Alligator mississippiensis: one gene and its partners. The protein of the gene in region 3 interacts with the protein of the main gene of each other region in a biochemical or structural test. Links are inferred from orthologs where the notes say so. Each region holds a gene or a part of one and is shown on either strand. Other genes may lie near its edges. The genes, in order: MATK, CHGB, LRRK1 and BAG5.

Region 1 (7,743 bases), on a different chromosome or scaffold from region 3:
TCCATCCCATGCAAAACTCACTCCCTCATTCAGGTGTAAATTCACTGGTGTAAATTCAGGTGTAAATTCATTGAAAATATTTACTTTAAACCTATGCTGGCTTTTTTTTTTTCTCTTAAAATTTCCCTCTCTCCTAACAGCCAGCTCAGCTCCAGCAATGCCAGGATTTGTGGCAACGCGCTGGGGCAGACTTTTTCAGCAGCGTCACAGAGATCTGCTTTCACTAGGTATTATATGGTGGGGAAAACTTCAGGTGCTGCCTGGAGCCTCTGCTGCTAACACACCTTTACACAGCCATTGCTGAACCTGCAAGCTTGGCTGCAGTGGCAGGAAGCACTTACTAAATACTTCCCCCCCACCCCAAGAATAGGTATCACAGGAAGCTTAAAATGAGATTTCTTTTTTGTCCCTTCGTTAGAATTCTTCATCCCTCATGTATTCAGCTGTAGTTGGTGCAAAAGAAAATAATAATTTGAGAATGGAAAGGAAACTGCTACTTTGTGGGTAGGCCTAGGGACTAACTAACCTAGCCCTGTTGCAAGGCTTTCTGCTTTTGATTGCCAGTTTCCTGAGGAAATGCATCATGCATAAAATCTTTAACAGTGGTATAAGTCTGGGGGTTGTTTCCGGCCTAATTTCAAAGAATTTAATTGCACAGTTAACTTCAGATTTTAAAGAGGGTGGGTGGGCAGAGGGAACATGCAGGCCTGGTTGACTTCAAGCAAAAGAAAAGTCAGCGCCGCAACACCATTTTATAGCAACAATAGTACCTCGACATACAGTTTTATTATCAGGTATTCCGCAATCAAATCAGATGGAACCATTTTCAGATAATTAGGATCTATGCCCAGCCTTGCAGCTCAGCCATCGTGCTTTCTCTTCCCATGTTTTGTTGGAAGGCTCTCAATCTGTTTCTGTGCTGCCCATTGCAGCTTCTCCTTCCCAGGTCCCACCTTATAGTCTGATCATACGAAAATACTCCACTGCTTCTGGCACATCTATTCTAGCAGCTCCCCCTTCCATACCACTGACCTTCGCTTTCACCTGCATGTTGCAACGTGCCTAATTCCTTATGAACTTGTGTCCAGCTTTCAAGTTGCTTTTCCCTTTTGTTTTCACTTGGGCTGACAGGTGAGGCTGTTATCCTGTGACCTGAGATCCAGGTCAGGTTTCCTGCATGACCTTGGCTGAGTTCACTTCACTGGTCATCTGTTCCCTTTCACACATCATAGGGCCACTCAGGGTGTGGACACATGTAGCATTTTGAAACATTTGGGTGACCATACATCCCATTTTCACTGGAACAGGCCCATTTTAACCCCCTCTCCCATCTGTGTCAAATGAATGCCTTTACCTGGTTCTCAGCAGGAATGCAGCAGCAATGCTCTCCAGCTAGGGAGCAAGATAGAGGGTTGCTGATATTCTGGCTTCTCACAGTTCACTTTCCCCACCCCAACGCTGGTGCTTCACAAAACCCCTTCACCCCCTTGCTCCCTGTGCTGAGACTGGAGTGATAAGACAGCTGAATATACAGGAGAGCTGGGAAGGAGCAGACTATGCCATTTTGTGACTTGGGAAGTATGACTACCCTATTCAAATGCCACTGAAGCATGCCAAAGGGCAAGCCAGGCAGATGTATGTGCCCTTTGAAGTGCTCCCAAACCAGTGGAAGTGCCACAGGAATGGTGAAGGAAGCAGCCACTTTTTAAAAGTGCTTCAAAATGACATGCTCGGTGGAGCACAACAGAGACCTTTGAGTCCTCCGGCATCCCACAGTGCTCCTCGGACCCACCCCCAGCTTGGACTGCAAGTTTCTCAAGGCAAGCGCTGTCTCACTGTGTTTATACTGGGCCTGGCACAGGGAACCTGTGGTCGTATTTGCAACTTTTTACAAATGTGCAACAGAATAAAAACGAATCAGGTCTGTAATTAACAGCAGGTATCTGAAAAACACTATCAGCATCATATCCCAGCCCCAAAAGACTGTATTTAGATGAGTCATGGCATTGTCCTTGTGAATTGTTAGTCCTTTGCTTTTGTTAATAGCTAGGAAACTGCTTGCTTATATTTTTAATTCCTCATTACAACTTCCTTTTAATGAGGAAGCTGTTAATTCACCTGGTCAATACCCTTGGGCAGCAATAGCAAACGTATTGAATCACATTGCGAAGTCCCTGTTATATTGCAGCGGTCTATAAGTTATTTCACAAGTAATCATCAGTCATTTTCGCAACAGCATGTCTTGGATGAGGATTCTTTTCATCTCAGACCTTTCAAAATAGCCAGCCCAAGGCCTTTCCCTAGGATGCCCACCCTCTTGGACGGCCCAGGTATATGATACAAAAGCTATAGGGCCAAGTCCTTCCAGAGTGTTTTTATAGCTCTATAGACATCACTGACACTGTGATGGATAACACCAGCTATCTGGGGGAGCTGCTTAATTGCTGGAAAAAAATGCAATTTTGCAAGGAACCGAAATTATCCCCAAGCTCAGTCTGAATCCTGCAGTCTCCACTGAAACATTAAGGAACAAATTAGAAATATTTAACTGCTTTGTTTTGATATTTCCAAAATGAAACATTGAACTTTTGCTCCAAAAATGACCATTTCAGAACTGGCCAGAGTCTCATTTGAAAAGGCTTAAGCTCCAAAATGGAATGTTGTTCCCTAAAATGAATGCCTTGGTTCTTATCACTTTGCTGGAAAACAGCCCTTTTGTTTTGGGCTGACGCAACCCTAGTAATTCTCAACTTTTTTTGGTTTTGTTCAGGAATTGAAACAAATCAATGATTTGTGCACTTCTGGGTATGGACACATGACATAATTAACTCAGAGAAATTTAACGTAGATTTTACTCTAAAATACAGTGATTCTCAATCAGGGTACCATGCCGCCCTGGGGTGCCATGAGATGGGTGTCATAGTATTCCATGTGATGTTAGCACTGTTAGGTGTTCAAAAAGGATTCACAAACCCAGAGATTTAAAATAGGAACCTATGGTGTTAAAAACATTCTGACCTGTTATGGTCTGAGTTCTTTGCAAGTGAAGAATTGATATATTATTTTTCTGTAGTCAAAAAAACGTAAAAATGGAGAGCTGGCATTTTCTGATGGAGCCTCAAATCTAACCAGGGGTGCCTTGAGTCTAAAAAGGTTGAGGACGGCTATTCTAGTTTACTATGTAGTAATGAATGGGCACATGCCCACTAGGGCTGTGCGAAACGGCACCGTTCCATTTCGACTTGCGTTTCAACAGAACAGCATTTCATTTCAAATTTTGTTTCGATTCGAAACTGCTGTTCCATTTTGTTTCATCGAAACAGTTTCGCTGTTTCAACGTTTTGCCCGTAGGCTATAATGGGGAAGCTTGAAACTGCCTATAACTTTGTCATTTCTGGTCTGATTTGGATGAAACTTGCAGGAATAGTAGCCCCTTCTGAGGGCATGAAGCCTGCCAAGTTTCAAGGAGATAGGTGCAGGGGTTTTGGGGAAACTGCACCTCAAGCTGTGGACAAGCAAAACTCGTGACATGGGTGACACTGTGTGTGTGAAGGCGCAGCAGGGTGAAAGCTGCAGGGATGGTGGCCCCTGCTGAGGCCATGAAGCTGCCAGCTGTTGACATAGGTTCAGGGGCTTCTTGGTTCTGGGGCCCTGCACCTCTAGCTGCCGACAGGCAAAACTGGAAGACGCAGCTCAGTAACTGCCACCAAGGCAGAAAGCAGGGCAGTTCAAACAATACTGCCTTTTATGCAGTTTTTCCATCCCTCCCCCAGAGCACTGGGGTTGGACGGGACCTCAGGAAAGGATGACAGTAAACTGGAAACGTTTAAAAAATCTCGAAACGTTTCGACTCGCCTTGTTTTGTTTCGAGGTTGTTTCAAAGCTCTGTTTTGTTTCGATTTCGCTGTTTCGAGCTGGAAACAAGTCGAAACAACATCAAAACAAAACTGCCAGCGAAATTTCACACAGCCCTAATGCCCACATTGCCCAGGCTGTTTGCTTCCAGTAGGTGCCACTGCAGCACTTGGCCACGCAATGTGGACAGCTGATTTGCATTGACCGAGGGCTTCCCTTGGATGGAGATGTAACCACAGGACCAGGACACCGATGTAACTTATATCAGTGGTGGCTGCTCCTCACTTCCTGAGGGGTAAGGTTGTCCTGGAGCAGAGTGACTTACACTAGTACTTGTGTGTCCACTTCATTTTTGCTGCAGCATAAAGCCAATGTACTCCCTAGCAAACAGGTTGTGTCCACATGTTCTAACTAAGGGCTGCGAGGGCTGCGTAATCTTTTGCCTTTGTACGGCATCTGTGAGCTAAGGATCTCTCCATGCTTTGCAGTTACTCATTTTGTTCGTGATGTGTCTGTGAGCTAGGTCAATATTTTTATCATCGGTTTTAATGCTGAAAACACTGAGACACAGAGAAGTGACTTCCTCACACCAGGCAGAAGGTCAGTGATGAAGCTGGGACCAGAATTCAAGGTTCCTACTAGAGTCTAATCACATTTCCCTTCTTGAAGCTCCAAAATATCTTGTGGGAAAGCTGCTGCCACTCATGATTCCTCGCGTTGTCACCCGCTGGTGATTATGCAGTCCCTGCCACTAAAAATAAGTGCCGCTAAAAATAAAGTTGTAGGAGTAAATTGCACTCTGCTCATATCACTTGAATGCTAGTTTGCTTTGGATATCATAAAATGCTATATTATTGCAGATCAGCCAATTGCCAATGCTTTCCTCAATTTCCTTAATGGGCATGTGTTATGAGGGGGCAAAAGTCACTCGAGGATTTAGCCTCAGCAACAAATGAATCACTGGTGAATAATAAACCTGACTGTGGAGGAAGCAGGCACTAGGACCTCTAAGACGTTACGTCTGCAGAAGAGCCAAACGAGAGAGAAATCAGGAAATAACACTGAGGCAGTATAACGACAGTAGTTTTCTGAGGGTGCTGCAGCTGCCCTGGGTGGTAACGCTCCGCTCCTCTGTTTGGACAGGAGTTTATTGTCCACGAATCTTGGGACTCGGCTCCAGATTAAGCTGTGGTCAAACCTGTACCGACATTAACACCAAGGACCTTGCATGGACACTCCAGGAAGGTAAGTGCAAAGATCCGGCTGGTTCAGTAATGCCGCTGCGTAACATATTTTCTTGGTGGGGAAAGAGGAGACCCAAGTGACTGTCAAACGAAGAGTGCTGCAGTCAGAGGGATAAGTAGCTCAGTACCACCTCTTTACCTCTGTCCATCTGTACCCAGGTGGCCCTCCTGATATCCATGTGGGTGGGTATTGGTGAGGCGGGGAGGAGGGGTACCTCTAGAAAGCAGATACAAGCGTGCTGAGTTTTGGTGCAGAGATCCTGGTAGGCTTCCTGCAAGCTACCAAAGCACACGTATACTCCAAGACAGCACGTAAAGCCCTTTGATTCCTTTAGCTCTCAAGATGGAGGAGTTCCGTGCATTGAGGGCATAGTTGTCTTATTGCGCTTCAAACCAGTATGGTTTCCATATTCTGGGCAATTTCCTAAAGCACGTGAGAATTGGTGTAAGAACCAAACCCTCCGGTATATGTGGTATCTATCAGGAAGTATATTCAATATACTCAGTATATTCAATATACTCAGTTCCACAGGCTAAGGCAATTAAAACTAGTTCATTTGGTTGGGAACGGGGAAATTGTTCACCTTTCAGCCCTGTGTCCCAGCCTAGTGTAGGGCGGTGGGGGCTCCAAGTTATAAAAAGTGATTCTCAATCTGGGCGCCATGAAAGCCTTCTAAGTGTGTCACAGAGTGTAACACAACATCAGCACTGCTGAGTGTGCAACATCTACACACGATTCATGCAATAAACCCAGGGATTGCAACTAGAAATCCAGAGTGTCCAAAGCACTCTGGCCTGCGGTGGCCTTTCTGCATTCTTTGCAACAGAAGAATTGCTCTGTTATTTTTCTGCAGCCAAAAAACAAGTGAAAACACTAGGAGCTGGCATTTTCCGAGGGGTGTCTTGAATCTAATGAGAGGGGCCTTGAGTCGAGAATCGCTGTTATAAAGAATGTTATAGTCCAGGTGCTTTTTCTTCGAGGTACTTGTCCAAATGGCTCTGACTTCTGGGTCCATGACACCCAGAAAGGAGATCCACATAGACAAGGTATGCTCGAGGATCACAGGGCGGTGTAGGAGAAGTTCATTTATAAGCTTTGGGAGTGGCAGAGAGGAAAAGGATGCATGTTGGCCTTTCTAATAAGCTGGTTTCTGCAGCTGGATCTGATGGTCTCAGCCAGACCCCTTGCCCCTGATCACCAGAACTACTCCTGTCTATCAGCTCTTGCTGACTCCTTTAAGCCAGGCTCATAAGATGTGTTGCCTGGGTTGGGTGGGGCAGATGAACCTCTTGTTCATTCTTCCCTACCTTGGACCCCCAGGCTCTCCAGCAGCCCACCTTCCCTCTTGCTGAAGTCGCCCACAGATGCATACTCCCAAGGGAAGATTCTGAATGGAAAACCAGCTGTTCTGGGGCATTACAATGCAGAGAAATGGAGAAGGCCACTAATGGCCAGATTATCCAGCAGTATTACAGCCCTTGCAGATCCAGGACTGACCCCTCCTAGCAAAGCTAAAGCTCCTACCTCTTGGTATCTAGGCACCTGTAGGCGCATTCCCGAGAGGTGCTCTTGTGAAGCACTTGTGTGCTTCCACTTTCCCTTCCAGCTGTGCTGATCTGCCTGCTGCTCCCTGCTCACAGCACCATTCGCCAACAGCTGTCAGTGCACCTTCCTGCAGAAGGCACCCCCAGGAGAGGAGGGACCAAGATTTGCCAGGATCTGCTGGGACGTGCTGCTTTGGCAGGCGTGGCTAGCCTTTCTGGTGGCTTGGGTATCGTTTTTGGTGTCGCGCGGTGCCATGCATCACTTCTAATCATCATGACTGCTCTTCTTTCCCACCAGTCAGGTTTGGCTTGGTTTGGTTTGTTTATAGTGGGGGAAGAGTGAGTGGAAAAAGCAGCTGACTTGCCCATCCTAAGACCTATGACTATATATCTCAGTGTTTCCATGACCTCGGTCATGCAGGACCAAGCACTTCACAACACCCCTGACCAGATTATTGCTGTTGCCATCTTAAAGACGGATGGGGAGGTCTGTGACAGTCCAGCCTCCTAAATTTGGAGGCTGCAGTTGTGCTGCGCTCTGCTGTGGACAGGGTTATCACGTCTTGTTTGGTCTTTGCCCCTGCTGGGATGGTTTGTTTTATACTGCCTTACTGTTGATTCACGCCAGGCATGCTTTGGAAGCAACAAGGCTCCAATATCACCTCATTTGACTGCTCCTCAACCGAGCAGAGCAAAGAGCATTGCCTGATCAACAGATTGCGCTAGATGACTGTGTTCAGCCATGGATGGCAGTGCCATGTAGGGCCTGTTGGGTGTGACCATAGCACCGGGCATCCACACATGGACAGCCCTTGAAGACTTAGCTCCCCGTTACATCTGCAGCAACTTCCCAGTGCTCTTCATTTGCCATAGCCCTCCAAGCTGCTGTTCTTAAGGTAGATGCTGCTGGAGAGGTGTATAGGGGTGCCACCATCAGTGCAATATGGAGCCATGCACTTCTGCACTAACCAGAGGTTCTTGGCAGCCAGGCACCGATTCAGAGGTTGAAGTAAAGTGAGTTTGTATCAGAGGCAAAGCAGGGCAGCTCCAGGCAACACAAAGGGCAGTGCTTAGCTCCTGTGGTGCTGATCATGGCGGC
Region 2 (6,941 bases), on a different chromosome or scaffold from region 3:
TCCCACAGGGTTTGGTCCTTGGACCGATATTATTCAATATCTTCATCAGCGATTTGGACGAGGACATGGAGAGCACCCTCTCCAAGTTCGCTGATGATACCAAGTTATGGGGCAAAGTTAGTACACTGGAGGGCAGGGAGCAGATTCAGGCTGACCTGGACAGGTTGGATCAATGGGCAGAGAGAAATAGGATGCAATTTAATAAAGATAAATGTAAGGTACTCCACCTGGGAAGGAGGAACCACCAGCACACCTATAGGTTGGGGAGTGTCCTTCTCAGCAGCTTGGAGACAGAGAGGGATCTTGGAGCCATAATTGACCCCAAGATGAACATGAGCCAGCAGTGTAATGAGGCCATCAACAAGGCCAATCGCATCTTGTTGTGCATTAGCAGGTGCATGACTAATAGATCAAAGGAGGTGATGCTCCCCCTCCATGCGGCACTGGTCAGGCTGCAGTTGGAGTCCTGTGTCCAGTTTTGGGTGCCACACTTCAAGAGGGACACGGGGAATCTTGAGAGGGTCCAGAGGAGGGGGGGACCCGCATGATTAGTGGCCTTCATGATAGACCCTATGGGGGGAGGTTGAGAGAGCTGAATCTCTTCAGCCTTCATGAGACAGCTGAGAGGAGATCTTGTGGCCGCCTATAAATTTATTAGGGGAGGTCAACGGGGCATAGGGGACGCGCTGTTTACTAGGGTGCCCCAGGGAATGACTAGGAATAACAGGTGTAAACTAGTTGAGAGTGGCTTTAGGTTAGATATTAGGAAGAAATTTTTCACAGTAAGGGTGGCCAGGATCTGGAATGAGCTTCCAAGAGAGGTGATGCTATCACCCAGCTTGGAGTTCTTCAAGAGGAGGCTAGATAGTCCCCTGGCTGGGGTCATCTGACCTCGGTCCTCTTTCCTGCCAGGAGCAGGCAGTTGGACACAATGATCCATTGTGGTCCCTTCTGACTCTACAATCTATGAATCTAGTACAGCACTGACGTTTGGATACAGAACTACAAACTTTCAGCCCTCTAAAATTATGAAATTGACTTAAAAATAATGAAGCATTTTATTGCTTTTGGGCTGGAATAATCCATTGTGGATCCATTGTGGAGAAATATGTGGATTGTGGGTTTTGGGCTTGCCCAAGTTTTTTGGCACCAAAATAAATGGGTTTCAGATCATGCTTTCATATTCTGTCTTTGTTCACTCCTGTCAGCTTTTTCATCAGGCTTTCTTCTGGGTTTTGCCATGAGCTTGTTGTGTGACCTCTGACAAGTTAGATCGATCTCTTTAGGATAGATTCTGATTTCCTTTGCGCCAATATAAGTTTGAAGTAATTCACAGTTACTCCTGATGTAACTGGAAACATTATTTATCCCACCTGTGCCTTCATTCCCCTTCAGTAAAAGGAACGCAGAGAAATTTCCTGTTTTGTAAATGTTGCAAAGCTCGAACCCTTAATGGTTTCATGGTGAAGAGCACTTTCAAAGATCCTGTAAGTAACAATAAATCCACTCCCATAGCTGAGTGCAAGGCAGTAGTACAGCCCCTTACTAGAACAGCAGCTACTTGTACAGAACAATTAGGCCACTGAACCTTAAGGTAAACCTTGGGACCCAAACCTGTCCCAACCCCAGTACCACTCTCTGTAGCATGAAGACTCCCATGTGATTGCCCCATTAGCTATCTCTTATCAAATGGAGTGTTAACTGTGCATCCTCTGCACTAAGGTGAATTTCACTTGTATTAAAATATGTCCATCCCCCCCACCCACTCCCACATCATGCAGCAGCAGGAAGTTAGGCCTAGCTATAGCAATGCAAGGTCAGTGGTACAAAAGCTACATGGGGGCAACCAAGAAGCATCACTATGTGAACGAGGAGAGTGAGAACACGATTTACGGTAAACAGCCAATATTCTATTAAATCTTTTCTAATTGTGGAACAAGATAATTTGACTTGGAGCCAAACTGTATCTTCAAATCATCAGTAGCACCAGAACAAAAGCCATTAGAATTCCTGAGAGACTTTCCACCGATTTCAGGGGGTTTTGTTTGAATCAGGCCTTAGGAGTCCCTCCAGTCAGTGACATCAGGAAATAGGGACATGGGAGGGGTTGCCTGCAGGTTAGACAAATGGACTGACCACTGATTAAGTGACCACTGATTTGCTTTTCAGTTACAATTAAGTAATTGTAATAATATTATCACCAGGTAAAGAAAGCCACTTCCTGCAAATGACAAAGAGGGTGTATGAAGGCATGCCGCTTTGACTTCATTCTGAAATGCTGCCTTCTAAAGCAGGATTAAAATAGGGTATAAGTTCCTGGTTTTTCCTAGGCATAGAAGCCAATAAGCGTGACGTTTCACAGTGTTTGGTGTCCTTGTATCCTGTTTTATGTGTTTATATCCTTTGAATATATATCAGTCTAGCATTAACAATAATCATTTGAATGCAGCCACTGGCTGTTATTCTCTATTTCTAAAGTGCCCATCACAGTGGGACCCCATTCTCAATTGGCCTCTGGGCATTACCTTAATAGAAGTAATATAAGGTATAGCAGATTACAAATGCATGCCTCTTCAGGAACACCGGCAATCAAAGACAGACCCCTGCCTGCCGTGTTTGAAAAAGATGCTGTCAAACATGAAGGCATGGGAGAGAGTGCTCTCTCTAAGAGTTGATGGGAAGGAAAGAAGCAAGGGGGAAAAAAAGAACCTAGGTGAGGGATATCTTTGCTCAGCTCTGCTCACTGAGGGGGCATCAAGCATTTCTCTCTGCAGGGAGTGCTTTACAGGATTTTATACTTTGTTCATCAAGGGATACTCTCAAAGGATGGGGTCTAGTTAAAAAATGATGTAGTCTTTTCCCAGTATGTTAGATCATAACAGAAAGTGTCTCAGTCACACCTCTTGAGGAACAGTGTGTGTGCCTGTGTGTATATGTGTGTGTGTGTGTGAGATGATCTCCCCACATGGAAAAAGGATCAGGCTGTGGAGACCAAGTGGGATTGCTGCATATGGGACTCATTTGCTAGCAAGTATCTGATCCAGGGTTTGTTTTGCATTGTCAAAAGAGGGAGAATGGTTAGTGTGGAAGGCATGGGCTTCCCAAAGGCTAGAGGGGTTGCAATAACAGCGACCTTTATTGCTAAGATCCTAGGGAGCCCTGATCAGCAGCGAACCTAGAAATGTGGTGGTTTCCTTTGCATTTATTCCATGGGGCTGAATGACCCACCCCCCTCCCCACATGGCTGCATGTAGGTAAATGTTACAGCATCCGGTGCAAATGGGGAAGGAGGAGATTCTGCATCCTTCAGCCCAGAGAAAGGGGATGGGGTGGGGGGGCTCTGTCTAAAGCCAGCCTGTGGGGAGATGTGGAGGGGGGTCATACCTCTTGGAAAGGGGCAGGAGGAAGGGATGAACTGGGTGCAGGGCAGGGGGGAAGAGAGGGGGAAGGAGAAAGGAAAAGGGGTCCTGCCTTTTGCAGCCCTGGGGAGAAAGGGTAGGGGGAAGTGGGGAGAGCTGTCTCCTCAGTCTGGGGAGGGGGTGGGTAGGGAAGGGGGCCTGGATTTGGGGGGCAGGCGGGGGTGGGTGCTGTGTGTGAAGGCGGAGGGGGGGGGTTCAGGGAGTGCTGTGTGGTGGTGGAGGGGCTCTGTGAGGCTACTGGAGGGGCTGTGTGGTGACGAGGGGCAACCAGGCAGGGCTGTGCGTGGCCGGGGAGGGCTCGGGGGCGGGGGGTGCCAAGGAGGAGACGGTGGCGGGAAGGCGAGGCTGGGCTGGGGCAGGGTCCGGCGGTGCCGGACAGCGGCGCCTCCCACGGCCCGGGCGCGGGGGCCCGGCGTGACGCAGGCTGCGGGCGGGAGCGCCGCGCCCCCACAGTGCCCGGCCCGGCTCCTCCGCCCCCGCGTCCCCCTTTAAATAGCGCGGCGCTGCCGCGCGGCCCCAGCCCGACCGCAGCCCTAGCCCCAGCCCCGCCGCCGGGAGCCGCCGCCGCAGCAGCAGCCGCCGTGCTCGGAGCGGGAGCGGGAGGCGGTGGCAGGGCGATGCCGGCGCTGGCGCTGCTCGGGCTGCTGGGGGCCGCCGCGCTCGCAGGTGAGTGTCCGTGCCCGGCACCGCGGCCAGCGCCGCCGCCCGCCCGCCAGCACCGCGCCCCGGACAGCGCCCGCCGGCGGGCTGTGTGCGTGCGTGCGTGTGTACAGAGGAGTGTGTACATGTGAGCGTGTGTGTGTGCATGCTTGTGTGTGAGAACATGTGAGTATGTGTGCATGCGTGTGTACATGTGAGCATGTGTGTATGTTTGTGTGTACATATAAGTGTGTGTGTGCATGCCTGTGTGTGTACATGAGTCTGTGAGCATGTGTGCATGCTTGTGTGTATGAGAGCATGTGAGTATGTGTGCATGTTCGTGTGTGTGTGAGTGTGCATGTGTCTGGCATGCCTGTGTGTGTGCATATGTGCGTGTCTGCAGGAACCCCCTTCCCTCTCCAGTCCCTGTCTGCCTGCCTCTTACAGAGACAAAGATAGATGCTCACACCTGCACAGATCTCTGCACAGAGAAAACATAAAGGCATGTATTCATGCATGCACACGCACACACACACATATACCTCCCCCCCCACCCATGTCCTGCATGTGTCTATGTGCCATAGCATGCATGTGTATGGGTCTGAAGGCATCAGTGTGCCCATTTGCAGGTAGGTATCTCCACAGAAGTATACCAAGTGTTTGGGGTTTCTGCAGTGTGCACAGCACACACCTTTGTTTATCCCATGGAGGTCTCTAGAGAGACACTACAGTGCATTAAGCAGATGTCTGCCCAGGTGTGTATACATACATCAGCGTGCATGTATGCATTGTCTAGTGTGTAGGTGTCTCCATATGTGTAAAATCTCTCTCTCTATATCATGTGTGAGCACTCACGAATGCACACACAGATTTCATCGTTTGTGGTTGGCACAGACTGGGAACCATTCTGACTCCTTTAGTCTTCTTAGCCAGACTGGCCAGAAATGGAGACAGCAAGAAGTTATTAAAAATGAAGAGAAGAAACAATATCCATATCATAAAAATACAAGCAGATAATAAGCATCTGGCTCTTTTGCCAATTATTTTTTAACCCATCCTTTTAACAGGCATGTGTTGGGGAAAAAAAGTCTGTCTGGGGAAAAAAGCTGGGCTTTATTTAAAAGGGCATGAAGATAAAACGCCTTGCTAGAAACTCTTCTTTTTAAACTGATGCTTGTCTTTTAGTTGTTGTTAACCAGCCTACTTTAAGAAACAAACCAAAAAAAAATGCAACCAACTAAACAAAAAACCCTGATGTTGGAGAAGGGAAAGGTTTTATCCTGGAGGATTATGCCATCTGTTAAGAGTTGTCTTTCTATCCAACTCAATGCAATTTTTTAGAGAGTGGATAGTAGCGCCTCTTCTCACTGAAACTGGCCAATCACCGGAAATCTGGGATGGATTTATTTGCTGAACCTGTCAAACAGAGCTGAATTCTGGAAGAGGAGAATGACCAAATGATTCTGAGTCGTTTATTTTTCAAATGGTCTGTGAGTTTGCCTACTCTTCCACTCAAGGCAGACACATGAAGAGCCCTGGAGATTGAACAAGATGCTCCAAAAGAATTATCTGTCTAAGGAGAAGTGCCTATGCAGGCAGAGGTTTCTATAAAATGGGTATTGACTAAATAAAACATATTCTAGAAATTTAAAGGGAAAGCATATACATAGATGGCTAACAAATATAATTCCACAGGTGGAATGATTGTTATTTAACTCTCCCCCCAATTAAATGTCACAACAAAGTTTAGAAGAGCTCAAATGTATTAGTACTAAAGACATAGAAACATGTGGAATGTGTCAGTGAAAAGATTTCCAGTTTAATCTGTTTTTGATCTGTTTTAATCATATTACTCATTTGGGGTTTGAATCTATCACTTGTACTTACATTGAGCAGTACTGAGCTCCTTGAATATTCCCTTGACTACAGTAAGAATAATTCCAGAGCAGGCTGCTGTTTAATGTAAAGGACCTGTTATTGGACTGCTTGGTAGTCTTTCTAAACTGGTTGCTGACAGCATAATTTGTGAGAAGAACTAAATTAAAAGCACGTCTTTTTGCCTACACTATTCTAAAACTAATCAGTCATCTGTTTATTTAATTGCCTATGTAACACTTATCATTCTTTCCCTACTGTTTTTCTAAGTCCAGTTTTATGCGAGAGAAAGTTAATTAGCCTTAACTGGAAAAATATGACTAGGAAACTCATTTTGAAGTAGCAAAGTCAGTTTGGGGCCAGCTTCAGAGTGAGATGCACAGGCAGAAGCCTGTTGTGCCCCTGTGAGCCAGGGCCCCCACAGAAGGACACATGGTGGGCTCCGACCCTGCCCCCCAGCACAGCTGGGAGGTAAGTGGGGCCTGCGGTGGGAGGGGAGTAGCCAGCTGCAGGAGGCAGCTGAGAGGAGCTGAGGAGGATCATGCCTCCACCTGGCTCCTACTTGGCTCAGCCCCCCAGGGAGCCACGTGAACAGAATGTGCGAACAAAGTGCACAAACAGGAGCGCTCTAGGCCTGGTACATGAGTTAGCATAGGAGGGCAAGCAGGAGGGGCATTAGGCTCTAGGTGGTGAGCCTCAAGAGAAGGTCAGCACAACAGTAGCCAGGTCTACTACCTGTGCAATGGTGGGAGGGACACGTTGCACTACAAAATTCCCCCCTACAGCTGGACCCCCTCTCCCGCTCTGGTACCACTGAGACTTAGATGAAGCCTATGGTTCTGGCCTAGGGGCTTGTGTCCAGGATGTAACTGAGAGGATCCCCGAACTCATCCGGCCCTCCGACCACCACCCCATGCTCCTCATCCATGCGGGCATGAATGACATGGCTCAGAACAATCCCAGGTGGGTCATGAAGTGACTACAGGGCTCTGGGGGCTGGGGTCAATG
Region 3 (7,998 bases):
GAGCGTTCCTTTAAGCCTGGAGGGGAAGGGGGGAGTCTGACGTGCTTTGGGGGACTTACAAAAAAGTCCCCAGCGTCTCTGGTGGGGTTGTCTTTGCACACCAGTGGGTGGGGGGAGGAGGCTGGGAGCAGGGGGTGCAGCCACCTGAGCAGCATGGCCAAATCCTGGATTCACCCCGATCGATCTTCCTCTTTCTTGCCTGGGGACCCTAGCAAGATCAGAAGCTGTGGTGAGGGTGAATATGTGACGCTGTGCGAGATCACCCAGTGGTCACTGCACACACCACCACCTTTGCTTTGCTCTTTTAAGAAAGCCTGGAACAAGGCAAAAATATTTGCCAAATCACTGAACGTGGCATCTGCAAAACTACTAGCACCGAGGACCATCTTCTCCCTACGGCGCCTACTGATGTCTCAGGTTTAGAAGGTATGCGTGGGGAGGGTGGGAGGCGGCACTGCCACAGTATTGGCAACATCAAATAAATCATCCTCTACAACTCCGCTGAGGAATTACAGCAAGGGTGAATACGTCCTCTTGCAAAGCAGAGACTGGCCCCACAGCCCCCCCGCAGCAGACATCCAGTCTTACGTGACATTTTCCTCCCCCTAAAACAATGTTAGCAATCATGGGGGGGGAAAAATTAGATGCCATGCTGCAACTTGTGTAGTCTGCAGTGACCACTAACTGCAGGTGGGTGAAAACTGCCCCGGACACAATTTCCAAATGTGCCACTAACTCCCTCGCTCTGCCCCATGGAGACCCCGCAGGAAATCGTTCTGGAATACATGGTGCGGAAGAAGTCAGTTTGCCCCCGTCCGAGGCCAGGAATACAAACCTGTCCTCTCCGTAACTGCGTTATTGCAGAAGGCAATGCAAGGCAGTGCTAAGGTGATCCAACCGCACATCTTTAAACTCTCCCACCTTTGAATTTCTTTTCAGCATGTGCCCTGAATTTCCCAGGTTACTGATCGGGGAACAAGATGCAACATCCCTGTCATGTTTTATACCTTTAAGTTACTGCTCCATGTCTCAGCTGTGACATAAGGTTTTCTCTTGAATACGCAACAATAACCAGTGGATGTTGCCCAAGGTGCTGCAGTATCCACTCTGCCAGATTAAAGCAGGAAGCGATATATTTTAAAGCAGATTTAGATGCTATTTGCAAGCTTCCCAATTTCTCCTCGGAGACTTCCTGGCAGGCAGACAGCTTGAGTTCAGATTGAGTCCAAAGTCCAGGAGGCTTTTAAAAATAAATAGCTTTGCATTCCCAGCTTCTCCGAGCAATTCACAACGGTTAACTAAGCCTCTCCATAACACTGGCCCTCTGTGCCATACCCACGTTATAGGTAATCTGGGGCATGCCTTGCCTAATATCGCTCACCAAGTCCAGGCTCCAGAGCAACATCAGGAGGCCCCTGCTTAAACCGTCAGATCTCACTGCCTTCCCAAACAATGTCATGCCCTCTTCGAAGCCAAAGATAGAGTTAAAGGCATCTTACAATGGGCACTAACATGGGGTAATGAGGTGGATGAACAAACCAGCCGACCGAGGGCTCATCGGATGACTGCAGAAGGCAGGATGAAGCCCCACGCAGAGAAGTATTTTCCAAGAGAGAAGGTAAATTGGTGCAATGTTAGGGCAAAATCTCTGCTACATCTGTCAACCTCAGACCTGGATTCGATGGCTCCGAAGGTCCCCTGAAGTCCCGGGTTCCTCGTGGAACACCAGGAGCTCCCTGCCGAAAGACCGTGGCACGAGCTTAATTCATCCCATAAAATACTGGCAGCCACTAGCACCGCTCCTGCCACGGGAGCAGAGACACAATGAAAAGTAACCCGCCCTGGGCCCGTTCAAGGAAATAACAACCAAGATGCAATGACTTGGGAATGCTAGCAAGCCCCTTGTGTCGCCTAGCCTCCTGTGTCACAGCAGCAGAGAGCGGATGCTGAAAAGGAGAGTGAACGGGGATGCTTTTTTCCACCGCTCCTCTCGCTTGCAGCCTCCAGCACTCAAGCTCCAGGAAGCCCTGATTCAGAAGCCTCACTCCCAGGCTCTGTGGCTGCTGATTCACCTTCCCTCCACGAACGCCTCTGGTCCCGTTTTGAATCTGGCTGAACTGCCCTGGTTAGCGTAGAGACGCAGCGCTGAATTAATCACTGCTTATGGGGCGCTCCGAGATTCGTGCGAAAAGTAAAACCAGGGGTTATCAATTGTCACTGCTCTGCACCACGAAAAACTCCAGAGCAGGGCCAGGGGTTACTGTAGAGGCTACTGGATACAAAGTAGTTTCCCTTTGTATTTAAAGGATTTCCTTTCCACTGCCAGCTTTTAGGAAGTGGCACCTGGTAGGAGCCCAAACTTCGGCTCCCTTTGAACGGACGCTTGCTGCGGACGACACCCACCCACCCAGGCTGCTCTGGAGCTCTTCCCCTTCCCGCAAACTCTGCCCCTCATCTCGCTCGCTCCTCCCGCGCTGCAACAGGCTGCGCCGGCCCCGGGCCTGCGGTCCTGCCAGGGCGTCTCGGGCGTCGCCTGGGCGGCCTCGCCGATCTGGATGGACTTACGGGTCCCTTGTGCACCGGCCGGCTCCCCGGGACGCGGGCCCGCGCCTTGGGCACCGTGCGCTGCCGCTGGAACGACGTCCAGAGGAAAGGGACGGATGCTGCAAGAGGAGAAAGGGGAGTCAGCCGGGGGGTACCTGGGGGCTTTGGAGGAAAGCTCGTTTTCTGGTTTCCATCCAGAAGAGCTTTTGTTCCTGGCTCTCCGCGCACCCCTGCGTGACACCCACCCCGCGCTGTCCCCCCAGGGGCCCCTGCTCCGCGCGGCAGCCGCCCAGGGCCCTGGGGGCAGCTCTGCCCTGCCCTGCCCTGCGCCGCCACCCTCCTCCGCAGCGCTCCTACCTGCAGCCGCGGCCGGGCAGCCGGGCGGCGCGCCCACGGAAGAGCCCCGCTTCCTCCCCGCCGCGCCGGGCCGGGCCGGGCCGGGCCGGGCCGGGCGTGTCCGCCGCACGTCGGCCCGCCCCCGGCCCGCCCAGCACGGCCCGGCGCGCTCCTGCTCTCTCTATTGCCCGCGCGCACACTTTTTCTATTGCACACACGTACACACAGACGCACAAATTGCCTGCATGCACACTATTGTGCACACTCACACGCTATTGCCTACACACGCACTTTTTCTATTGCGCACATGCACACACAAATTGCCTGCATGCACACTATTACACACACATACACTATTGTGCACACTCGCACCCTATTGTCTACACACACACACACCTTTCCTATTGCGCACATGCACACACAAATTGCCTGAATGCACAGTATTACACACACACTATTGTGCATACTCACACACTATTGCCTACACACATTTTCTATTGCGCGTATGCACACACACGTTGCCTGCATGCACACTATTACACACACATACACTATTGTGCACACTCGCACCCTATTGTCTACACACACACCCCTTTTCTATTGCGCACATGCACACACAAATTGCCTGCATGCACAGTATTACACACACACTATTGTGCATACTTACACACTATTGCCTACACACATTTTCTATTGCGCGCATGCACACACACGTTGCCTGCATGCACACTATTACACACACATATTGTGCACTCGCACCCTATTGCCTACTTTTTCTATTGCACACGCAAATTGCCTGCATGCACGCTATTACACATACATACACTATTGTGCACACTCACACCCTATTGCCTACACTTTTCTATTGTGCACACACACAGATTGCCTGCATACACACACATACACTATTGTGCACACTCGTACCCTGTTGCCTACACTTTTTCTATTGCGCACATGCACACACAAATTGCCTGCATGCACACTATTACACACACACAAACTATTGTGCACTCACACACTTGCCTACACACATGCACACACTTTCTGTAGTGCCCATACACACACATGCACACACACTATTCCATGTGTACACACTGTTTCAGTCTCTCATCTGTGCGCACACACTCGATTACCCCCGCACACACCCACTCTATTCCTACACGTGTCTACACACCATCTCAGTCTCTCATCCACACACACACTTTATTGCACAATTACCCAGCCAAGCGTACCATAAAACGTAGACCAGCTACACTTGCAACTGATCTCTCCCACCTTAAAACACTCCAATCAGGTATAAAGTTATTGCTGGAAAACCTTTATTTCCACCCCCCATTCAAGGTGCACGTGTAGACAGAGGTGGGTGGGGAGACCCCAGCTGCTGCCACCTCCAGGGCGCTGGGAGATGGCAGCCAATGTGATCTCCCAGCCACAGGGATGTGGAGGTGCTCCACGCACCCGCATGCTGCCCCCAGGGTGCAGCTGGGACCCCAAATCCCTGCAGCTGAGGGAGCTCGGTCCCAGCTGCACCACATCAGACAGCTCTCCTGGCAGCCTCCACTCCCCAAATCCAACTGCTACTGTCGTAAGAGCCAGGAGGAGCAAGGCAAACTCATCTCTGTTCTTAATCCTGCCCTTACCCAGTCTCTTACTCATTGCCTTTTCTTCTACCCCCTCAGGCCTCCGTCTTTCCCTGCTTGAGACAGGCTTATAGAGACAAATCCCCACCTGCAAACTCTTTCTGCAGCAGGTTTCTCTGAAGACACAGAATAAAACCAAGGACCCATCTCTGTGCTGACAGACTGATGTAGATAAGCACGAATTTTCTCCAGATGCTCAGCTAAGATGCGCTCTTAATGGCAACCCCTTCTTCCTGCGTTGCGTTCCCACGAGTCTGCCCACGTCTGTAGAGCAACACGGCAACAACCAACACCCCACTAGCAGTCTTAGCACTTCTCTGGCTTTGGGCTTTATGCCCTTTAAATCAGTGTGGAGTTGTAAGGCTGGGTCTCCACTCCCAAACTATGCCCACTTCTGCCAGGCGAGGACGTAGACCACCTTGCAGATGGAGAAAGGCTGGAGCAGCCCCAATCCTAGCCTGCTGTCAATAGGACTAGCAAGTAAGGCCAGCAGGATTTGACCCCACAGGGGGCAAGCTGGTTGGAAGAGCTGTCTTATTTCACTTATACAGCACTGGCCCATGCCAACGCATTTCTGCATTGGCAGAAAGTGCCCTGCTCACCCACGCTGGTAATCCAGTATCATCGTGGACACGGTGCTCTCCGATTGAAGGTAGTTCAGTGTTCGGTTGTCCCTTTTGTGAGCTCAGCACGACTTTCTGCTCTTGGAAACCCGCTGGGGAAGACTGGATACCAGGGGGACAGACAGCACGCGGTCTCAAGGAGACAGGCTGCTGCTACTATAGCACAACAGGGGCATTTTGTTCTAGGAGCAGGAGCGCTTGACCCATCTACAACGTTCAATTCTGTTGACAATGGCCCAAATTCAGACTGCGTGAAGGGCAAGGAGGGGATAACCAGCAAGTCAGAGCCTAAGGAAGTCAGGGGAAGGTCTTAGGGAGCACAACAGCCTCAGTAAAGGACATAAAGCTTATCTCAAGGCAGCATTTGGCCTGATAATAGGACAAACTCCAATATCTTCTAATACAAAGGGAGCCACACTTACCTTTGGGAGTGAAATCAGATTTCCCCCCCGTACTTTTTTACTGGGCAAGATGTTAAATGTCACACCTATAATCTGTACCACAAAGTTAACCATTTTTATTAAAACTTGAAAAGCTAACATTACAAAAAAGATACCCAATATTCTATATTATATACATGAGGTTTAAAACTTAGCATTTCCATGTACCTTCAGCTATAAAAATACATTAGAATAACTGTAACCTAGTTTATATATTTATATATATATTTAAAAGTAGCATTTCATATAAAAAGCATTACTGTGCAATGGAAGAATATATACCCACTCGTGGGTCATTTTAAAAGTTAGTATTTACTGTTATTAGATATATAATTTAGAAAATTCAGTGTGTCAAGCCAAACCCTGATTTATACAATAAGAGAATACATTACTAAGTCATTTATTTTAAGTTGATAGGAAAAAAGGAGGAAAGATGAAATGTATATATTTATATATATACACACACACGTATTTTATATATATATGTATAAAAACCATACTAAAAAGAATATGGTGACATCTGAAAACATACAATTTCATTAAGATGTTTGTCAAACGAAGAAATACAGAAAGCTACATTGATTACTAATCTTCTTGCCTGACTTGATCACATACTTGCCTTGTGTCTAGTTCTAGCTTTGGATGCTAAAAGCCCATTCACTAAGCAGTGGTGAAAATGATTTCTGAGGGAGCGCTCAGGCTTCCTTGCTACACATTGCAAAAAACAGAAGACTATTTACAGTTTTCCCATTTGGACTTTCGGGGAGGAAGGAGGAAGTCTCTCTGTTTCAGGGAGAAAGATTCATCTGTGGATATCCTGCCTCACAGGAGAAAAGATGCTCCCTAGCATACAGCTACTGGGGATAGGTCATTGATAAGAAGTTAAAGTGTGAAAGCCTCATTTCTTTCAAGGCTTGCTGGCTCTTAAGGAAGGTCAGGTCCAAGTAAACCGGTCTCCCAGCATAGCAGCGTGGGAGTAATTCTTAATTACGTTGGAGGACACGTATAGTTTCTTGCTCTGGCCTTGCACTGCCATAGCGAGCCTGCATTTCCATTTCAAGACCCTAGTATTTGACACTTGCTATTTAGCCACCTGCAGGACTCCCACCGACACCTCGGGGTCCTCCTCATCAGTGCTGCGTGGAAGCCAGCGGGGCTCTGACAGTGTGTGGGTGCAGTGGTTGCCCATCAGACTTTCCTTACCTTCACTCTTAGTCAACGGTTCTCTGGGAAGCCTCTCCAGAATAGGCAGTTCAATCAGAGCATCCCCTGCCCCCTAACCAAAGTCCCATCTTGGGCAGTGCTATCCAGTTTGGGGCCTCTGGAAGTAAGCTCACACCACTGGCAACTTCCCTTCTCACCCTGGGCTTTCAGACAAGGTGCATCTCAATCAGGTTCTTCAATAGTATCCTCCAACTCAGACCCTGGAGGACCAAGCCATGGAGCTACCAAAGGATCAGGTCCTCTCTCTCTCAAAAACATACTGGGAGTTAAACATGAGAGTCCCAGCCTGGGAGCAGTTTCTCTCTCATTGTGTATTTTGAAGAGTCTAGTTTAAGCTACATTCATTGGGGGTATGGGGAGGGCAGGGGAAGGGGAGCTTTCTAATTTTGTTCAACCTCAAAAACAGATCTGGTTGAACAAAATGAACCTCGCGCATGGGAATCCAAAGGACAGCGAAAGAAGCACAAGGCAAACTAGGCTGCCTTTCCATCTTTCCTCTCCTCCGAGAAGATTTCAGCTCCAGTTTCCATTTTCCCCTCAGTGGTGACGTCACTACGGTAGATGCAGTGCAAAATCCTCTTGTGAAAAGTGCCGAAGTAATGACTTGTGATCTGAGCGACTCTGGAGCCAGGTGGATTATGGAGTCAATGACTTGTACTCTCAGCGCCTGCAGAGTGCGTGCACCAAGAGACAGGCAGCAAAGAACACGTGGATCTTAAGCCTGTGAAATCCTGGCCCCGTGGAAGTGTGTAAGAAAACTCCAACTGATGTCACTCAGGGCCAGGCTTCCACCTGCCTCAAGGTTGCATGTGCATGAGAGAAAGCAAAGGTAACTCTTCTGATAAAAGTGCTTCAAAACTCCCATGCACACACAGCCACGCTCCCCCCGACAGCAGGAGATGGGCTATCGTCTTCGCACCTGACAGACTCCTTTGACTTCAGTGGCATTGCTCCCACTACCAGCAGGAGCAATGCCAATTGAGTCAATGGAGCTGTGTTCATTTACTCCAAGTAAGGCCCACATACGTCAATGCAGGAACAGTCCACGTGAACAAAGCCCAAGGTCTTTCAAACATGATCTGGGCAAGTAATATTGCTTTCAAGGGCACCGTTTGATAAAAGCCGACTCCCTGTAATGCGGGATGTCTGGAATTTTGGTCACGGGTCAGACAGAGCTCGGGATCATCTGTC
Region 4 (7,750 bases), on a different chromosome or scaffold from region 3:
TTGATCCATTAAGGCCATTTAATGCAGCTGTCTGTGCACCACCAAACATTTGCTACAGTGGAAACATGATTTGTGCTGGCTAATTAGTTCCCATGGCCAGAAGAAAAGGGTACTGCAGAAAGCAGCATAATCAGCTTTATTTAAACAGCTGAAGAACCAAACCAATAACTGGTGAATTAAGAGAAGAGACATTATGCTACAAGTCTTTTGAGTGTTAGCATCTGAAGATACCAGTATGAGATCTGTAACTTAGGTATAAAAGCACAGACAACATTGTAACTACCTAGTTTTACAAGGTTAAATCAGATGCATCCACAAGCAATAGTAAAAGTGGTTTCCATACTCATAGACTGTTGAGAAGATTCATGACATCCACCCTCAAGAACAGGGTTAGAAAGGATCTAAATGGCACCTGCACAAGATCCAGTCCAGGCTTTATGGATGCCAGTATAAAACCCTATAGATTTCACATTTCTCCACTCAGCGCCTGCTATAATTTTTTTCTGTTCCTTAAAGTATCATAATTACTTTAAAACAAAATGAGAACAGGAACTTTTCCCTAGGTCCATCCATTTTCTTGTAGTACCAACCAGCTGGGCATTATGTATGTAAATGTTAATTTGCAAGCTGTCTTGTAATACTGTTATGAAATGACACCAAACACAGTAGAATGAAATAGCTGGAATAAAATCAAGCACAAAGGAAAAACCAACATTTTTTTTTGCATTTAATCCTTCTGATTGGAACAGCACATTAAAAGCATGTCCATGCTGCTATACAGTTGCTAGATCTAATCTTGAATTTGGTCAATAGTTTTAGTTCCCTGCCTTCTTTTGGTACTTTTCCCAGTAATTTACTTCAAGGAAGCCCCTGCCTCTTTGAGAAGTCTGCAGCCCCTAAATTTTATATTATGTTTCTTTAAACAAAAACTTGGCCCAACATAAGACACTCTGATCATCACTCAGCAACTCAAGAAATCATCATCTACATACTGCAGTGATAAAAACTGAATGGTTAAGGGTAGGCGGACAGTTGCCATGGCAAACGAGTGAAAGCGTGGGATAGCCGTCAAGCCAACTATTTATGCAGTCTCTGTAACTTGAGCAAATATTAAAACAACACAAATTTTAATTATCTGCTGCTCATGGGACTATCAGTTTATATAAAGTGCAAAAAAAGAGAAAGCAATATCTCACAGGGACCACAGCTGTTTCAGTACTCCCACTCATCTGTTTTCATGTCTAGATAGTAAAGAGTATTCTGGGCAAGCTTTACTGCCTGCTTTCTGGCAGCCTTACAGCGTTCATCTCCTTGAGGGTCAACAGCATCAAGGGCTAACAGCTGCTTCGTGAGCAGCTCTTCCAGTCTCATGTAGTTCTTATCAGCTCGGTTTCCATCAAATGACAGCACCTCCTGCTGAATCTGAGAGAGACTTCCAAGCACACTCCAGACTGCTTTGTGGGAGTGATGTTCAGCATTAACTTGATCACTGTGCATTCGCCTTTTTTCTAACGCTTCTTTTAAATCAATGTATGTTATAAGAGTTTGCACTTCAATCACTGCTCTTCTCCTGGCTTCTCTGATACATGGATTCTTTCCTGGACTCACTTCATCCAAGCACGTGATTAATCCTTGCAGTTCTGCCTTAGATCCCAAATACAAGTCAGAAGCATTTTCCACTCTTAAAAGTACAGAATGAACTTCTTTCATTTTTTTGCGGATCTCTTCTATTTTCAGAATGGACTGATTTTGGGCCAAGTCATAAGCTGAAGTTGTGTCAGCTTCCTCTTCCAAATCCAGGTATTTCTGTAACTTATTGATCTCTTCCACCACTTCCTTCCTGTAATTTCTTATTTCTACGCGGCCACAAACATCCAAAGCATCCAGATCAGCCATCAAGCCGGTAAGCACGCATGCTAAGTGCCTGCAGGTTTCGTTGTTATTTACTCCCATGAGGAGCGCAATAAGCGTCCCTCTAGCTTTGTTCACGTCGCACAGGACAGAGTTAATTTTAGAAATGGAGGGATGCACGTCGTCGGACAGCGGCAGCGAAGGCTGCTGCTTGACGCAGCTTTCTATGATCTCCTGAACCATACACACTTTTGTCACCGTGCGGTACCTCGCTTTCCGCAAGGAGACTTTCCCTCCGGTTTTCACCTGAGTGAGTCTCAGGATGATGTCCTGAAGACCCTCTTCGAACTCGTCGCTGATGCAGTTGGCGCCTTTGTAGAAAGGGGTGATTTCCCGTTCCACGAGGGACTGCGCCTCCTTGTAGATGGCCTCGATCTCCAGCCTGTGCGGGTGGTTGGCGTTTTGCTCCAGCTCCTTCAGCAGCCTCTCTGTTTCCTGGGCCGCCCGGTTGCGGGCTTGCTGGACGTCCCCTCGGCCCTCCGTGTCCACAGAATCGATCTCAAACAGCTGCCTGGTCAGGGCCCGCTCCAGCTTCTTGTACTCCCGGTCCGCGGACAAGCCGCTGAAGGCCGCCACCTGCTGCTCCAGGTCCTTGACTTCCTTCTGGATCTCCTGGAGCCGTCTGATGGCAGGGTGTTGGTTACCCATATCCATGCTCTTCCCTCATCCGGCTCCACGTGAACTGAGAGAGACAGAGCGACACACGGGGCTTGGCACCAGTTCGACAAGCCGCCCTCCCTCTCGCCCCACACCATCGTGGGCCTGGGCTGGGGATCCGACCTCCGCCACCCCCAGCTCCTGGCCCGGGCCCTGCTGCGGGGCACAGCACGCCCTGCGCCCCCCCGGGCTCCTCAACGGTCGCGAGCGAGCCCCCCCCCGCCGCCCCCCCTTACCCGCGGGCCCCGCGCGGGCGCCTTGCGCCACCGCCCCCCGCCCGCTCGCTCGCTACCTACCTGCCGCGTTAGCCCGCCGGCCGTGACGTCACAGCGGGGCACGAAACGGCCAGGCCCGGCAGTGGCCAACCGGCGGCGAGCCCGAAGGGATGGGGGGGAGGGGAGAGGCCGCTGCGTCCAGTCCCGCCCTACCCCTCACGGGGCTCTGGGGGCGGAACCCCGCGAGCCGCTTCGGTTGGTCCGCTGCGCTCTTACGACAGTGCCGTAAAGCAGCAGCCGCCGCTGAGAGGCTAATGGCGGCCGCGTTGCGAAGCGTCCCGTGCCGTTGCTACTGCAGCAGCTGCCGCTGCTCGGGGCCGGCACGCGCCCAGGGGGCGGGGCTAGGCGACCGGACGCGCGGCGGGGTAGGTGTGGCGGGAAGGGCGCGGGGCTGTGTGGCCGTTGGCCCCGCCCTACCGTAATGGGCGGTAACGCTGTCGCAGGCCCCGCCCTACCGTAATTGACGGGATGTGCGACACGGGCCTCTCCTAGCTGGGCCGTGCTGGAGCGGGTTTGGGCTGGCTCTCCTGACGGACCGTCCAGCCCGAGCGCTTCATAAGCACCCTGGGCTACGAGCTCCCCCACAACTCACGGATTGAACGAACCGGGATTGGCTCTGGAGGTGGACGCTGTCATGCCATGCTCGTAGGTTCTCCAGTCGGAGGGCCCCGAGCAGATTATCAAGTCCGCCCCTGCCCTGGGCAGCAACGAGTGCTGGGATCGTAACACCCCAGCCAGATATCTGTCTCTTGAAGGCCGGCCGGGTAGGGGAGAGCGCCGCTGCCTCCCTGGGGAGCCCCTTCCAGCGCCTGGCAGCCCTCACCAGGAAGCGATGCCTCCTGATATCAACCCTGACCCTGCTCTCAATCAGTTGGTGGCCAGTTTGTTTCTGTTGTGCCTTTCCCGTGGGCAGCTCGGCGTGCTTGAGGGAGCCGTGAACGCCCCCGGCAGGGACAAGCTCGCTTGTTCGCGCTTGGGGAAAATGGGAGCGTTGGATTGATGCTGAGGCTGTGGCGGGCCAGGACTCGTGCAAGAGGCGAGGGTTTCTTAGGGCGGTATCTCTTACCGGACCAGCCGCCGAGCTGGGATAGAATTAGACAAGCATTTGAATGCAAGGCTGCCTTCGTCAGCTCTGAGCTTTCAAAAGCTTGTCTGACTCCGTCGCAGCTATGTGGTTGGTCCAATGAAAGATATCACGCTAAGAAATCCCTGCCTGTCGCACAGTTTGGGAAACTAAACCACAAAAAAGTAATTATTTTTCTAAACCAAGCAATGAGTCATTAACAAGGTGTGCTAGAAATCGGGTGTTTTCCCTGCTCCAGCTTTGACAGCTCCCTGGGGAGTCTTTGCTTGCTATTATTAGACATGCAGAAGCAAAGAATAAATAGAAAATAATACCACAAAAGTTTTTTAAGGTGGAAGGCGGGGCCGGGTGGCCCTCTGGACACTAACTGGTTCTGAGAAGCATGAGCTTTCGTAACCTACAGCCTGCTTCATCAGGCTGTATACATGGACTCGCAGAAATAAAGGGTGTTTAGTAGAAGGGAATTTAAATACAATGGAAGGGGACACTGCAGTCACTCATTGCTATCAAATAACGGGACAACATGTCAAGTGAAACAGTCATTTGTTGTGTATCTAATCCACGTTTGTTGTATGACTCAGAGGTCACTTGTGCATCTGTGTCATGTTGCCAAGCATAAAAGTGAATCATGAATTACTGTAGAAAATTTAAATCGGATTAAACCAAACTCGCATTCTTTTTTCAACTATTCAGTTACATGTTTTGAAGTTATACTCAGCTGTGTGAAGTGTTATGATATTTTTCTGTGAACTTATGTACAAAACCTAAATAATTCAAAATGCTTGTTATTCCTTTCTTTTCTTTTTCCCTGAGGTTTCAAGCTTCTGCCCTCCGGCACGTTCTTGTAATGATTGGATCGGCCCTCCTGACAGATATTCAAACCTCCGGCCAATAATATTTTATGTTCCTAAAAATGAATCATCACTGGAACAAAGACTTAGGGAATTTAGACAAGAAACTCAAATGTGGAATCAACAATTCTGGGCAAACCAGAATGTGTCATTCCAGCAGGTGAGCGTGTAGATGAGGTACTAAGCCACTTGGTGGTGCTGAGTTTCTTTAAGAGCTTGCCGTGTTAATAGCTGATAGATAAATGGAATTATGTTTCTTACGTGGAAGATTTTCACAGCTGCACTGCAGAGTGACCTTGAAGCATGATTGTTCTTTATTATATAACTCCTCAAAATAGTTGAGGTAATGCAAAGTATTTGTCTTCAAAAATATTATTAAATTATGTCTCTGCAGTTCTTTATCCTGTGCTTTTAAATTTGATTTTGTAGCTGATTCAGCCTGAGTAATGTCAAAGAAAACCAGTTTCTAATGCGTCTGTTTTTGTCAGTTTCTGTTTTTGCCGTTGTTATATTGTCTTCTCAATACTAAAGAGCACATTTAAAGATCAACTACATAGTTAACCAGTGTATGTCTAGCTGCTGTTTAATGCAGTATAAAAATATTCTCCCTTTTTTCTGGCTTTTTATTTAACAAATATCAGTGTATGATTGTCCTCTTTTATCCTGGAGAACCTGGCATTCAAGCTGGTTATTGAAACCCGAGCTGCAAGCCTGATAACTCCACGATGAGTGGGAGCATAGATGCAGTTATAGAGGGAGAATAAGCAAGAGCTTTTCTGTCCCAATATATCTTCCTGACCATGACTTTGGGCAGGTCATTTTCACTCCTAGTCTCTCTCAGGTTTTTTTATATGGTTGCACACTGGGGAGGAGATACTGAATTTTAGGTTGAGGGAGCAACAGCAGCTTAACTATTAACCCCCAGCTCTGATGACCTTTTCCAAGGTTCTCCAGAAAGTGATAAAGTTCTCTAAACAAGAGAAAAGTTTGCTTCCTTTAAATGTCAAAAGAAAATTTTGGGGGTTCCGTTCTTTTTTTAGTTTTAAAACTTTTTTTTGGCTGTTTAAGTAGCTTTGAATTAATTTAAAGGGGAAGCTACATGTATTATTTGGACTCAACTTTGTGTATAAAGCAACAAGACCTAATTTGATAAATTGCCTTATTTAAAACTTGCAATGTAAGGTCCTGATCCTGTGAACTTGCGCACGTATATAACTTACACAAACAAATCACATTTATTTCTGTGGGATTCTGTATATAAATAAACTCATACACACATGTAACAGTGTGCAGGATCAGGGCTCAGTGACTGTTTCCTTAAGAGGATCAAATTAACTTATTATTGGATTAAGCAACAAACACTGTTGTCATTACCAGGTTTAGTAAGGTCTAGAAATGGTCCTTTTACATGTTCTTGAAACTTGCTCAGTAAGCTGGTAGGTGGTATAGGTTGGCTAACTTCAAAGACTAAGTGTGTTAATGTGTGGAAACATGTGTTTTAGGGAAAAGAAGAATTCATTTATTCAAGACTGAAAGCTAAAGGTCTGCAAACAAGAGATGAAACAGGTCAGTGAGGCTGTTGTATGTAGTTTAGTGTGTCTTCTGTTTTACCTTTGGGTTTTGCTAATTTCAGTTCCCCAGAAAGCTCAAGAGCAGTGGTCACCAACCAATGGATCTCAATCCACCAGTAGATCTCAGAACCTCTTGCAGTAGATCTCGGAGCCTCTTGGAGTCAATCTGAGGCTGGGGTGGAGGGGTGAGTGCCTGCATGTATGCACGTGAGCACCCCAGCCCAGCGGGTCGGTCTGTGGGGGAGGGAAGGAGTGGGGGCTAGATCAAGGCCTCTGTGGTGAGGGACAGTGCCACGGAGGCAGGAGCAGGGGTAAATTGAGTGGTGCCCTGGCCGGGTGAGACTTACCTGCCGGGGAGGCACATCCCCAAATATTTTTTTTTTCTCCCTCTGCCTCGATTTGCCCCACTCCTCCTTTCTTCCCCATGGACTTACCTTCTGGGGGTGGGGGCAGTGGCGGTGCACAGTAGATCTTGGGTTCTTTTTTAAATGCCAAAAGTGATCTTCTACATAAAAAGTTTGGAGACCAGTGCTCAAAAGCAAATCCAGCCACCTCTGTGGCTGCAGGGGTACGCTGTGCCTCTAGGAGCTCTGGCAGCCTGAGATCTCTGTTCCCAGGAAGGGAATCCATAATTACTTGGTAGTCCAAGTTAAAGCAACCCTTCTCCCCCTCACACATACTCACTCCAGTGAAGTAGTGGAGCTGAGTGTTGGAGAGAGTTTGCTCCTGAACACACATTATGCTGGGGCTGCTAGCCTCACAAATTTGGGCTGTCTGTGATAAGAGAGAGGCTGGTTTACCTGTGCTGCCCATGTGGCTGGGAAGGCAGCTAGGCTGTCCAGGCATGTGACCTGGGGGTCTACAGCCCATGCAGCGTGTGCCCCCCCCCACACTGTCCAAAAATTGGACAGCCCTGGCTTATACATACAACATGCTTCCTTGAGGAAGAGGGAGTCAACTTCTGAGGAAGGAACAGCTATTTCCCAAGTTTACTTGCCTGAACCCAGTTTCTGGAAAATGGTTGCATGTCTGTTTAATGAGATGGAACTAAAAATAAGATACTAATACAGGGGATCTGTAGAGCATGGTACTAAGCATGCCTGAAAAGAATCATTTGATAGATTGTATTGTCAGAGGAGGCCATGAAAGCATCTAGTCTGACCTGTATTTTACAGATCATTACATTTCTCCTACTTATTCTTGTTTTTAATTCAGTATCTTGTTTGTTTGATTAATTAGATAAATTAGACTAATTAGATAAATTGAATTTCTGTCATGTTTTTTAAAATACCAGAATTTAAATTTATATCACAGTGTTAGTTTTCACTTTTTATTGTTTTATTTAGATTACAGAAATAACAGAAATAATAAATTTGTATATTTCCTGGAACTCATCAACTA

Evidence for each region.
Region 1: the proteins of LRRK1 (region 3) and MATK form a complex in vitro, tested with the Homo sapiens proteins (2 studies listed by BioGRID and IntAct, with this or other methods). The link is inferred for Alligator mississippiensis from reciprocal best matches to the Homo sapiens genes LRRK1 and MATK.
Region 2: the proteins of LRRK1 (region 3) and CHGB form a complex in vitro, tested with the Homo sapiens proteins (2 studies listed by BioGRID and IntAct, with this or other methods). The link is inferred for Alligator mississippiensis from reciprocal best matches to the Homo sapiens genes LRRK1 and CHGB.
Region 4: the proteins of LRRK1 (region 3) and BAG5 form a complex in vitro, tested with the Homo sapiens proteins (2 studies listed by BioGRID and IntAct, with this or other methods). The link is inferred for Alligator mississippiensis from reciprocal best matches to the Homo sapiens genes LRRK1 and BAG5.

Annotation. Positions count from the first base shown.
Region 1 is NC_081839.1:9,348,028-9,355,770, reverse strand, and holds the start of MATK (megakaryocyte-associated tyrosine-protein kinase), read left to right. Parts: upstream 1-4,735; 5' UTR 4,736-5,100; intron 5,101-7,743.
Region 2 is NC_081824.1:226,561,733-226,568,673, reverse strand, and holds the start of CHGB (secretogranin-1), read left to right. Parts: upstream 1-3,941; 5' UTR 3,942-4,036; coding exon 4,037-4,085; intron 4,086-6,941. UniProt on the Homo sapiens protein: Secretogranin-1 is a neuroendocrine secretory granule protein, which may be the precursor for other biologically active peptides.
Region 3 is NC_081834.1:7,133,159-7,141,156, forward strand, and holds the start of LRRK1 (leucine-rich repeat serine/threonine-protein kinase 1), read right to left. Parts: upstream 3,002-7,998; 5' UTR 2,902-3,001; intron 2,664-2,901; 5' UTR 2,566-2,663; intron 1-2,565.
Region 4 is NC_081825.1:286,693,216-286,700,965, forward strand, and holds the start of BAG5 (BAG family molecular chaperone regulator 5), read right to left. Parts: upstream 3,011-7,750; 5' UTR 2,861-3,010; intron 2,594-2,860; 5' UTR 2,566-2,593; coding exon 1,213-2,565; 3' UTR 1-1,212. Other genes in the region: cytochrome c oxidase assembly factor 8, read left to right, coding at 3,098-3,208, 4,741-4,938, 6,281-6,344. UniProt on the Homo sapiens protein: Co-chaperone for HSP/HSP70 proteins. It functions as a nucleotide-exchange factor promoting the release of ADP from HSP70, thereby activating HSP70-mediated protein refolding.